2 linked regions of the Mus musculus genome follow. The protein of the gene in region 1 purifies or fractionates together with the protein of each later gene. This does not show direct contact. Links are inferred from orthologs where the notes say so. Each region holds a gene or a part of one and is shown on either strand. Other genes may lie near its edges.

What was found. Proteins that work in one complex are often made in the same cells at the same time.
Region 2: the proteins of Fbxl13 (region 1) and Cetn2 purify together in Homo sapiens (affinity purification with mass spectrometry; 3 studies listed by BioGRID and IntAct, counting the BioPlex papers as one, with this or other methods). This does not show direct contact. The link is inferred for Mus musculus from reciprocal best matches to the Homo sapiens genes FBXL13 and CETN2.

Annotation. Positions count from the first base shown.
Region 1 is NC_000071.6:21,613,854-21,619,131, forward strand, and holds part of Fbxl13 (dynein regulatory complex subunit 6), read right to left. Parts: intron 3,445-5,278; coding exon 3,335-3,444; intron 944-3,334; coding exon 797-943; intron 707-796; exon of another isoform or gene 1-706. UniProt on the Homo sapiens protein: Substrate-recognition component of the SCF (SKP1-CUL1-F-box protein)-type E3 ubiquitin ligase complex.
Region 2 is NC_000086.7:72,914,802-72,920,523, reverse strand, and holds the start of Cetn2 (centrin-2), read left to right. Parts: upstream 1-2,179; 5' UTR 2,180-2,207; coding exon 2,208-2,210; intron 2,211-3,677; coding exon 3,678-3,836; intron 3,837-4,130; coding exon 4,131-4,259; intron 4,260-5,546; coding exon 5,547-5,684; intron 5,685-5,722. UniProt on the Homo sapiens protein: Plays a fundamental role in microtubule organizing center structure and function. Required for centriole duplication and correct spindle formation. Has a role in regulating cytokinesis and genome stability via cooperation with CALM1 and CCP110.

The sequences.
Region 1 (5,278 bases):
ATTTCTGAAAGTCACACTTTAAATGTACAGTTCCGTATTTCCATTTAGCACAGATACTATAGAAAATGAGTCATCACATCCTCTCAAAAGGAAAAAAACAAATCAGTTCTTCACGAGTCTTTTCCCTCTTTGGTATTTTAAATGTCGATGATCACAAACACTTCTGGCTTCTCTTCATTATAGACTTGCATTGCTGAGTACGTTATTGCCTTGACTTCTGTTCCCTGAGGGTGCTTGGACAGTGAGAACTCTTCTCCCCACCCAATGAATCGTAACTTGAAATTTTTCTGATCAATATTAAGTACTTTCACTTCCCGGGGTATGAAGTACTCATCAGCGCTGAACTTGTAAAGCCACTCGTCCAAAAAGTGAAACAGCAGAAACTGCAGGTCATCCCCTTGGGTTTCTACTTCCACGGTGCGGAGGGGCTCCACAGTCCCAGTATCTGTCATGTAACCAAACATGGCCATGGCACACTGTTCAAATGCTTCCTCCAGAGTGTCTCCCCATGCGTGTAACTGGACATCAGCCGTATGATCCAAATATCCATACTTTCGATTGACTGGAGGATACTTGTCCTTGGTCGCCTTCTGTTCCTCCGTCAAATTGTAATCTCTAACATCATCCTCCTCTTGAGCCATGATTGCGGAGTTGGTACTCTTACTTCCGCCCTTCATCAGCCAGACTTCGGCCCAGCCGATAATTTTTAAAATAAGGAATTATAAGCAAACATACTTACCCTAACTCCAAACTATACTCAAATTGTAAGAAAACTATTCAACAAACTCCTACAAACCTGGAGTATTGCTTGCTCCGGTAGCACTGAAATGTCAAATGCTATGCGCCTGTTCTCAACAGCGATGTCAGAGAGGCTCCCCTCAAGGCTAATCGGCTTCCCTAACTTGAACTTCCATTTTTTCAACTGAAGTTCATGTTTTGAAATCTGCAATGAAAATAATTTATAATAAATATAAATAATTTATGGAATTGTCCTAAGGGTCAAAGGTAATGGTACTTAGCACAATACTTGATATTAGTACCTGCTATACACTGTTGACTGCCATTATTATCTAAATGATAATTTTCCATATGAACACATAAAACTCCCTGGACCATCTTAACTTTTATAGACCACTTCTACTAATTGTCATAAGTATTGGCACAGGCCGCCCCTGAAAGACCTGGTGTCATCTCCTCTTCTAGAGAGGAGAGCCGTGGGCCACAAAGAAGAGATCCCAGCAGTGGAATCACTAGTATTTGGAGTCACTGAATGAATGTGCTAGTGGGGAGACAACTGAGAGAGGAGAAGTCAAAGAACACACGCCAGAGTCCTGACTGACTAACCATTATGGCAAGTCCCATTTTAACTGACACAGTTCCTGAAGACTATGTAACAAGAAAACGCTTCTATGGGTTAGTGAGTATTTTACACACACTTCTCACAAACCCACATACACAATTTTAGTAGAGGTATTTATAGGATGGGCGCATACTGGGAAGCCAGCACACATAGCTAACATTTGCCTCTGTTCCCAGCACATACCTGTTACTCTCACTCACCGACTGCAGAATGACTGTCCGCCAATAAATTGTATAGCTAGGGGGGAATTAATTCCTAAACATTCAGTTAACTATAATATATAAACGATAATAATATATTGCTAATACATACTATGTAGCAACCAGAGCATGTCAAACATCAGGATTAAAAGAACCCTGTTTTTTTCTCAGAGACAATCAGAATAAGTAAAGAAAGAATGCTGGTTGTGTGCAATCAACCATTCCACTGTTAGAACATCAATCATCAAGCAAAGGGCAATGATCACAACACTAGCTTAGTACACAAAGTGATTACAAGTATGGCAGTAACAGTGGCAGTGGTACCCAAAACAGGCATATCTAGCTGGCAATGTTGAAATGGTTGTCCACAACACCCATCCTCTTCCTATTTCTACTCCTCATCTCTCTCACACCTCTGTCTTTGGTATTGCAAACTGTTTTAACTCCTCGGGGACATACTTTTGTGGGCACACTGGATCCTTTAGACTGTAATAATACTTTGACCCTGAGCACTGCCACCCTGCCCTTCTGTCCAAACATTTACAATTCTTCAATCCTCTGTGTCACTCAGACTTTCCACTGCCTACCTGATAGGTAGTCTGGGACTTGCACCCTGATGTTCCTTTTTCACGGGGTTCAGGGTGGCATGGTATGATGAACAAGAGGTTGAGATCCTATCTCTCTTCTGTTCCAGGGTCTAACTGATAGCACCACCACAGCTGTGGTAGGGCTGATTACATCTTTGGCTCCAACGGGTGGCTCAAACCATCCTTACCTTCTAGAGCCAAATAGACTCACTGGCCACCATATTACTACAAAATCAGTAAGGATTAGATTTACTAACAGCTGAGAGAGAGGTGATCTTTGGCTTTTCCTCTGGGAGGAACGTTTCTTCTATGTCAACCAGTCGGGTATAGTAAAAGACATGAGCAGACAACGCCAGACAGAACTCCAAAATCATAAGAATCAGCTCTGTTCTCCTGGCCAGTGGCTCTTTGACAATCCAATATAGAATTCGGTGTCACCTTTCTTAATGCAGCCCCTCCTCCTTTTCTTACTCCTACTTGTGCCCCACTTTATAAACTTCCTTTTTGTATAGATTTCTTCAGCAACAGACAGGTCCAAATGCTTTTTAACCAGACTTTTTAATCAGTTGCTTTTACAGGATTACCCACCCCTAGTTATTGGGGTGGTTGACTCCTGATAATACCCAGCCTACAACATCAACTTTGCCCAAAGGCCTTCTACACTCACACTCAGCAGGAAATAGGGCAATGATAACATTGCCCCTTTCGCAACCCCAACTGTTTATCAATAATAAACACAAATGGGGATGAATGTAATCCCCTGGAGACACATGAGGCAGGCCCCTCCTCTGAGGACCTCCAAGGCCAGGTTCCACCCACAGAACACACTAACTGCACTAATGATCGGACCCAGGCCCTCCCTACAGAGTAAAAAGACCTGAAATCCCACCAATCCTCGCCCTGGAAAGCAACACCCACTCAACCCAAGAAATCCTATATAAACCCTGACTTCTGCTACTTCTCACCTGAGCAGAGGCAACCACCACCTAGGTTCTTCCCTGCCAGTAAATCTCCTGTGTGAGGGTTTGGGGTGCGGTGTGTGACTCTGTGGTATTCCTTGGCTCCCAAATGCCAAGATACCTTTCCCCCAAGAACTGTGACACTTACAGTGTCTTTATCAATATACATGAACAAATATTGAAATGATTTTTTTCCTTCTTTAAAACAAATAGCATCTAATATCATACCAAGTCGTCTTCTCTTGTTTTACTCTTGTGTCTGGCTCTCTCCTTCCATTTTGCTAGTATAATTCTTTGTCTTTGCATATAGAACAAATGTCGCAACCGAAGCAGTGTAGCTGCAGGAAATGTGCATCACATGTGGTTAAAGCTATTTCCAAAAACACTATGAACTGATGTATCTGACAGTTTGTGTTTCATTTTAATCACACTAAAATTAATTACTTTTGATAGCATTAGATAGTTCTCCAAGGATTTTTAAATATGTAAATATGCAATATTTTTAAATATGTAAATATCCTCTTTGCCCTTTGAAATTTAGATATAATAAATATATATAAACATATAAACAAACATGCATATATTTTTTTAAACTAAACAAATTAACCTTTTACAAAACTCAGAGTTCTAAGCATTTCATAGAAACACAATCACCAGGTAGTAATCAGAGCCAATGACTTTGAATTATAAGTTCTAGATCAAATAGATTTCCTGATGCATGTGAATCAGAGGTCCGGAACCCAAACACAGGGAGCCAGGAAACACAAACAGGCTGGAGAGCAGGCAAGCTCCTCATCTGCACCTGGCTGCACTGGTTACACCTCGTGCATCTGACTGCACCTGGTTACACCTGGCTGCACTGGTTACACCTGGTGCATCTGATTGCACCTGTTACACCTGGCTGCACTGGTTACACCTCGTGCATCTGACTGCACCTGGTTACACCTGGCAGCACTGGCTGCATCTGTTACACCTAGCTGTACTGGTTACCCCTGGCAGCACTGGCTGCATCTGACTGCACCTGACTGTACCTGGCTGCAGGCACTCTTTTTTTCTCTCTGAAGTTGAGGTTCAGAGTTTGTGTTAGCTTTTTATTTTACTTCACTTTTCAACTAAAAATGGGTATCTGAATGGTGCATGAATACTTCTGACATTTAAAGTTTGACAATGCTGTTTTTCATTTGAATGTTATGCAAACAGAACAAAACACAGCAGCTAACAGTGTTCAGCATCACAGGTGAAAATTTAAAGCCTTGTTTGTTTGTTTGTTTGTTGCTATACCTGCCAATGGGTTGGAACCTCACTGAACATCATAATTTTGTTCTAGAATCTAAGCTCTTTGAGAAGCCAGAACTCTACTAGTTGAGTTAGGCTGCTGTTACCAGCTGAGATGTGTATGTGCGTTCACAATCCCACATCTGCTACACTCTCATTTCTTCCACTCATTTTCATTTAAATGCTTTTTCTTGAGTTGTTACCTATAAAAATTATGTTTCTATACATGTAAATGTATACAATCTTAGCTTGTATCACTTAAGTTGTAATGAGTATGAAGTTAGAACATTCTGGAAGGAATGAGCGTGGTTTCTTTTTTAATTCCTCATTTTTATATCACTTACTATTACTAGATTATATATCTTCTAAACCAAATTAGAATATTTCTTAGACATTTAAGACATCACATGATACAAGTATATTATAAAATATTCAAATGCTATAAATCTATGCTATTATTTGTTCATTTTAAGGGTACTACTTTGAGAATCATATTTTAGACTTAATACTTGGAAATTCTGACAATAATCAAACAAAACTTTAAGTTTTTAATGATTGAGAGTTAAATGAAACAAATGTGCTATGACGTGAGGGTAGAGAAGGGGGAACAGTGTCAAAGAAGCATCACCATGTAAATGTAACTCGGGTCGTGTCTTAGGATTATGTAACTAAGAGATCACATGACCTTGGGGTTTTACTTTTAATGTATAAGAAATGTATGGATGCTTTGCCTGATGTATGACTGTGGAGCTTGTGTATGCCTGGTACCCGTGGCAGTCAGAGGAGAGGATCAGATAGATCCCCTGGCCCTGAAGTTAGACGGTTGTGAACTTCCATATGGGTGCTGAGAATTGAGCCCAGGTCATAAATCTAATATATAATTTACAAATGTGTGAC
Region 2 (5,722 bases), on another chromosome or scaffold:
GAGAACTAATGTATGATGCTTAGTAACATGAAATTATCTGAAAACTTGAGTGCTAAGGCCCTAGAATGAGTGAGTTAAAGAGAGGATGTGAGAGTCTTAAAAGATAGATCACATCCAAGGGTGGGAAGAACATGTCCTAGTAACCGTGATAAGTTGCAAGAACATAAGAACAAAGCAAAATTATACTCAGACAGGTCAAAGAACTTGGCTAGGGTCACAGAATTAGCGCATAACCCAGGAAGAAATTTATTTGTCCTTTCTAGCCTGCTGGGCTGCCACCCCAAAGGGGACTGATGAAACCAGAGATGTTCACTGTAAGAGTATAAGCATATGTTGGCAGAGGGGTGAATTATGAAAAACTAAGGGATACTTATGGACTACCTGATAGACTAAGGTTCACTGAACACTGAACATGTAGTCTTTCCTTTTCCAGGTACTGGTGAACACAAATATGATTCCTGTCCTCCTGTGCCTACCTTCTAGTGGAGACAACAAAGAAAAAAGGTTAACTTTACAGTGGCTTAGGAGGTGACAAGTGCTACTATAAAAATATGGAGCAATATGAGGGGCCCAGGTACAAAGTAAAGAGAGTGATTACCTTTACAGAGAAGGTGACAATAGCTGAAGACCAATACTAGGCTTGCTGGTGCATACCTTTAATCTAAGCACTCAGGAGGCAGTGGCAGATGGATCCCTGTGAAGTTTGAGGGCATCCTGGTTTACATAGTGAGTGCCAGGTCAGCCAGAATTACAGAGTGAGACCCTATCTCAAAACAAAAAAATTATATCTACCTGTGAAATTTTCTCAAAGAATTAATCAAAATACTAAAAAATTTTAAAAAGTTCATGGGACTGGGTAAGGTCAGTGAAGGAATGTATCAGCCGCAAAAATAGTGCCCTGGGTGAGAGTGAGCCAGAGGGGGAACAGTGTGGGTGTGATGGGAGAAGGAGGAATTTCATGGCAGGCTTTGCAGATTATGGTGAGAACTCCAGCTCATACTGCTGAGGAAGGGCTGAGGAGGAACAGAGAAAACAGAGGACAATTCAAGGACGGAACTGTGAGAACTCAGAGGCTGGATATGGGGGATTGTTGCTGCAGTGAACAAAGGAGCCAAACAAGACACAAAAGTTTTGAAGCCGGTTCCTGGCTTAAAGGAAAGAGGGCAAAGGGCCTATATTACATTTATGGGGAGCTGTTAAGTCTCAGGCCTTTCTCAGTTTGAGAGACTGATACTGTGCCCTTAAAGTCCCTAAACTGATTTTCTTTGCTTTGAGGGACGTAGAACATAGAATCTGTGTTCGACCCTGGGCCTTCATTACTCCTGGCACAGCTCCAGGTAGCCCCAACCCGTTGTGCACTTTGCCCTTTAATTCTCTTTACATTCCATACTTCCAAAACTCCTGTGGCTTTGCTTTCAAGGGAGTCTCATTCAGGAATGCTCCTTCCCATGTGACTTGAGTGTCTGTACGTCTAACAGGACACATTTTGATGAGTTTTGAAGATCTAAAAGTCCCCAGCCCATTCCCCTGAGAGCTAAAGTGACTCTTGTAGAGCTAATGTAAAGACAAAGCCTCATGTGGATTGGGTTTCTAAGCCCCAGCCCTGTGAACCACTGACACAATACTCAGCATGCCCACTCCAGTTTCGAGGTCTCAGCTTCTCCTGGCACAGTCACCCCTCCAAACCATTTGGTCATATCTTGCTGGCCCCTCAGATGTTCTGTGTCCCCCAACTCGGTTTTAAAATGGGTCCCACCCATTCCCTCCTACTTCCTCCAGGCTCTGTCACCCACACGCAGCAGCCTCTAAGGGCAAGCCCGCAACTCTTACCCGGTTTAGACACTCAAATGATCGACCTCAGCTTGCAGACAACCGGCAACCAGAGAAGTCTGGCTGAACACCCGCCACCCTTTTCTACTGATAGATATGAGCCCACAATCAGCAGAGCTTCCTTCATAATGTTGATTGGTCTAGCTTGGCTCTGGCGCAACCAATTGACGCTCACAGCATGATTTTGCCCAATGAGGCTAGTCTTTGGCTGCCGACGCACCGCCCTCTTGCTCTTGGGCGAGTTTTGCCAGGTTAGCCCCACCTCTTCGTTCCCAAACCAATGGGAAGCGGGCTGTGCGCGCGTGGAGCAGTGGGAACGCCGCTGAGGCTGCGAGTACGCCGTTGCCTTAACAACCGGTGGCAGAGTCCGTTGGGTGATGGTAAGTGCTAGGGATTCGGTGGACCCCACGCGGCGTCCCCGGTCCTTTCCTAGGCCTCGGTGCAGCCTTGCTACCTTTCTTGCACGGTTCTTGGCGTTGACGCACTAGTTCTTCCTTGGAGCTGTGTGCCGGAAGGGTAGAAGAGAAAGTACAGCCGCCAGCAGCTTGCCTTGCCTGCTCTTTCCCACTACCCCCTCCTCGCCCAAGTCACCTTCAGCCACCCCCGCACAAACTGCCTCTGGACCTCCGCTGGCTTTCAGGAAACAGCAGGGTGACCATTCTATTGCTTCCCTTAGACTTCCGCCTCAGTCAAACTCAGGCCTCCTGGCCGCGGCCACCCAGTTAAAGTTTATGCATTGGTGCTAAGAGGTTTACTGTGTTCTGATGGTCGCAAACGCTTTCAGGAGAGGCTGTGAGAAAGCACGCAGGTGCAAATGGTTTGATTTTTATCACTTTGTACCGGCATAATTTTTATCTTAGTAAGTTTACATTTAGCCAAATTTAGGCATAAGTAATTGGAGGAGCAGAGTTCTTGGGAACTGGCACCACAAGTAGATGTTTTAAGTACATTTCTAAAACCGAGAGTACGGAAATCATATACAGTTGATCATCCATAACTGTAATTGGTTTCTCAAAGAGCTTTTGATGATGCTTTTTTAGATTTAAAAATGACTGAAATTGAATCTCCTAAAGTGACACATGGATTAATGGTACAATTGCATGAACTTTCTGTAGTATAAACTTTAAGACAGTGGAGGTCAGAGTTATGTCTTCTCATGAAGGCTATGTTAACACTAGAAATTCATATTCATATATTCACTTGCTCTATGTTGATCTATACAAGAACAAGGAGGAAAATGGTAATATACTATTTTAAAACAAAAACTCTCTTCTATTTGGTGGCTCCCCAATGAAATATAGTTGAATTTAGTCATATGAGACATCACATTAAGACAAATTTACAGTTATATTAGAAAATAACCTCATTATTGCCAATTTCTTTTTTTATAACTTAGTAAAAACTGACATATATAAATTGAAATAGTTTTAAGTTGAGAGAAAGTTTTTTCTTCACAGAGGTTTGTGCTATTTGTCATTTAGAGTTGGGGTTAATTTTATTTTAGTTTTTACACTTATTATTCCTTGGTGGAGAAGCACATTTTAGCCTGAGTGTGGCGGTCAGAGAATAATTTGGAAGAGTTAGTTCTCTCCTTTTACCATGTAAGCATCGTTTCCCTTTTCATCTTTGACAACGACAACTGAAGCCTGGGTCCTGGTTCCCACTTAGGTTATCAAGCTTGGCAGCAAGAATTCTCACTGGCCCATGGAAGTTTACGTAATGACATAAGTACATTACAAACGATGGCACACCTCATTGAAAAAGATATGTATGTTTAGAGCTGTCATAAATAAAACAAGGACTATGGCTTGTAATAATGTGCTTCTGTGTTTATATATTGTGTGAAGGCCTCTAATTTTAAGAAGACAACCATGGCATCCAGTGCCCAGAGAAAAAGGATGAGTCCTAAGCCTGAACTTACTGAAGACCAGAAACAGGAAATCCGGGAAGCTTTTGATCTCTTTGATGCTGATGGAACTGGAACTATAGACATCAAAGAACTGAAGGTAAGCTGCACACATCCTTTTCTTTGTTACCTTGTGTTTCCTTATTGCTTGTCTTTTAGCTGTTACCGTTCTTCTCCTTTCTGCCTGCAAAAAGTAACAGACAAGGGTACCCTGTGTATATTTTACCTGAAACAATGGTCTAATTGATAAAGTTGATTGCAAATATCAATTAAATCAGCCTTAAGTGTTCCCTGATCATTTCCATCATTTTATCAGGTGTTTGGTTAATATCTTCAATAGTCATTTTTGTTTTTACGTTATGTATCTATTTAGATGATTCTGTTTTCATTGTAGGTGGCAATGAGGGCCCTGGGCTTTGAGCCCAAGAAAGAAGAAATTAAGAAAATGATAAGTGAAATTGATAAAGAAGGAACAGGAAAAATGAACTTCAGTGACTTTTTGACAGTGATGACTCAGAAAATGGTAAGTTAGTTAAGATAATTAGCATGCTTTCTACCCATAATGGTAGAAACATGAGAATCTAGACATACAAAGAGCTTTATCCAACAAAATCTATCCCTTCCACATGGGAGAAGATAGTATTTTTAATTGAGAGGATCTCTACGTTTCATTTGGCTTTCTTTAAGGTATTAGCATTATCTTGTTTCATGTGGCCACATGATAATCACAAGCAGTAAAAACTTTTAACACCGAGATTTTCAATGCTAGTCATTTTTGGTTTTAATTTATTATTATTAAAAATTAAATTATCATACAATAAATCAGGTGTCAATCTGACATTTTCAGACAAATGGTTCACACTTAAGATTGGTTCCTAGATTATTCTTCCACCTGAACCTCCTGGCAAGAACCTTCCTGAAATAGCTGAGGTTTGAACGCTTTCAGAAATTCTGCTCTTCTGCATTACAAGGACTCAGGGCCCTGGTAATTCTTTGAAGGCCATTGTGAAAAATACCTCTCTCCTCCTCTGCCTTTATCAGTCTATCTGTTTTAGCAATGTATTTTCCCTGACTACAACCCTACTCACTGCTTCTATATTTTAAAAATGAATCTAGTGTCTGCTTGTTTTGTACAGTACTTTATATACAATTATATTTCCTATGTAACCCCTGAGTTTATATTCACTTTACTAAGTATGTTTTCTTTTTTTTTTTTTTTTTTACAATGTACCATACTTGTTTGCCTGTGACCAAGGACATATATCATGACAGCTATCACCAGGACCTTATGATAATGTGGGCCATGGCCGGGGAATTAATCTAAGAAGATAGTTTTCCTACAACTCCCTTCTTGGGATTAGAACTGGGCAGCGTTCTATACAAGACAAAGCACAGGAGGGACAGTATAGATACCTGGCCAGATCCAGTGTCAGGTGTTAGAAAGATGAGCCCCAGCTCACTCCAGAGGCTCTTGTCTTCTACCTGTGAAAACAGTATATGACTGTTCGGCTATAATAGGAACCTGTCCTTGCCACATGATACTTTGCCCCACCCCCCCAACAAGTCCTCATGTCTATTTTTTAGGACTTCTTGACTTTTTCAAAAGCAGGCATCTTTTTTCTACTAAGTTCTGATTTGATTATGGAATAGATGATGGCAGAGGAAGTAGAAAGGGAATATATGCCACCATGAATCAGAGGACCTGGCTTCCTAACATTGTTCAAGTCAGGTTTTTGGAGACAAAAAGATGACCGGGGAGTAGCAAGAGTGGCTGGATATAAGTAACTATCACTTTTGTGTTCTACTCCAGTCTGAGAAAGACACTAAAGAAGAAATCCTGAAAGCTTTCAAGTTGTTCGATGATGATGAGACTGGGAAAATATCATTCAAGAATCTTAAGCGCGTGGCCAAGGAGCTGGGTGAGAACCTGACAGATGAGGAACTGCAGGTGAGAAAAAGGCTATGGCTTTCGTGGGTTCTATTTTC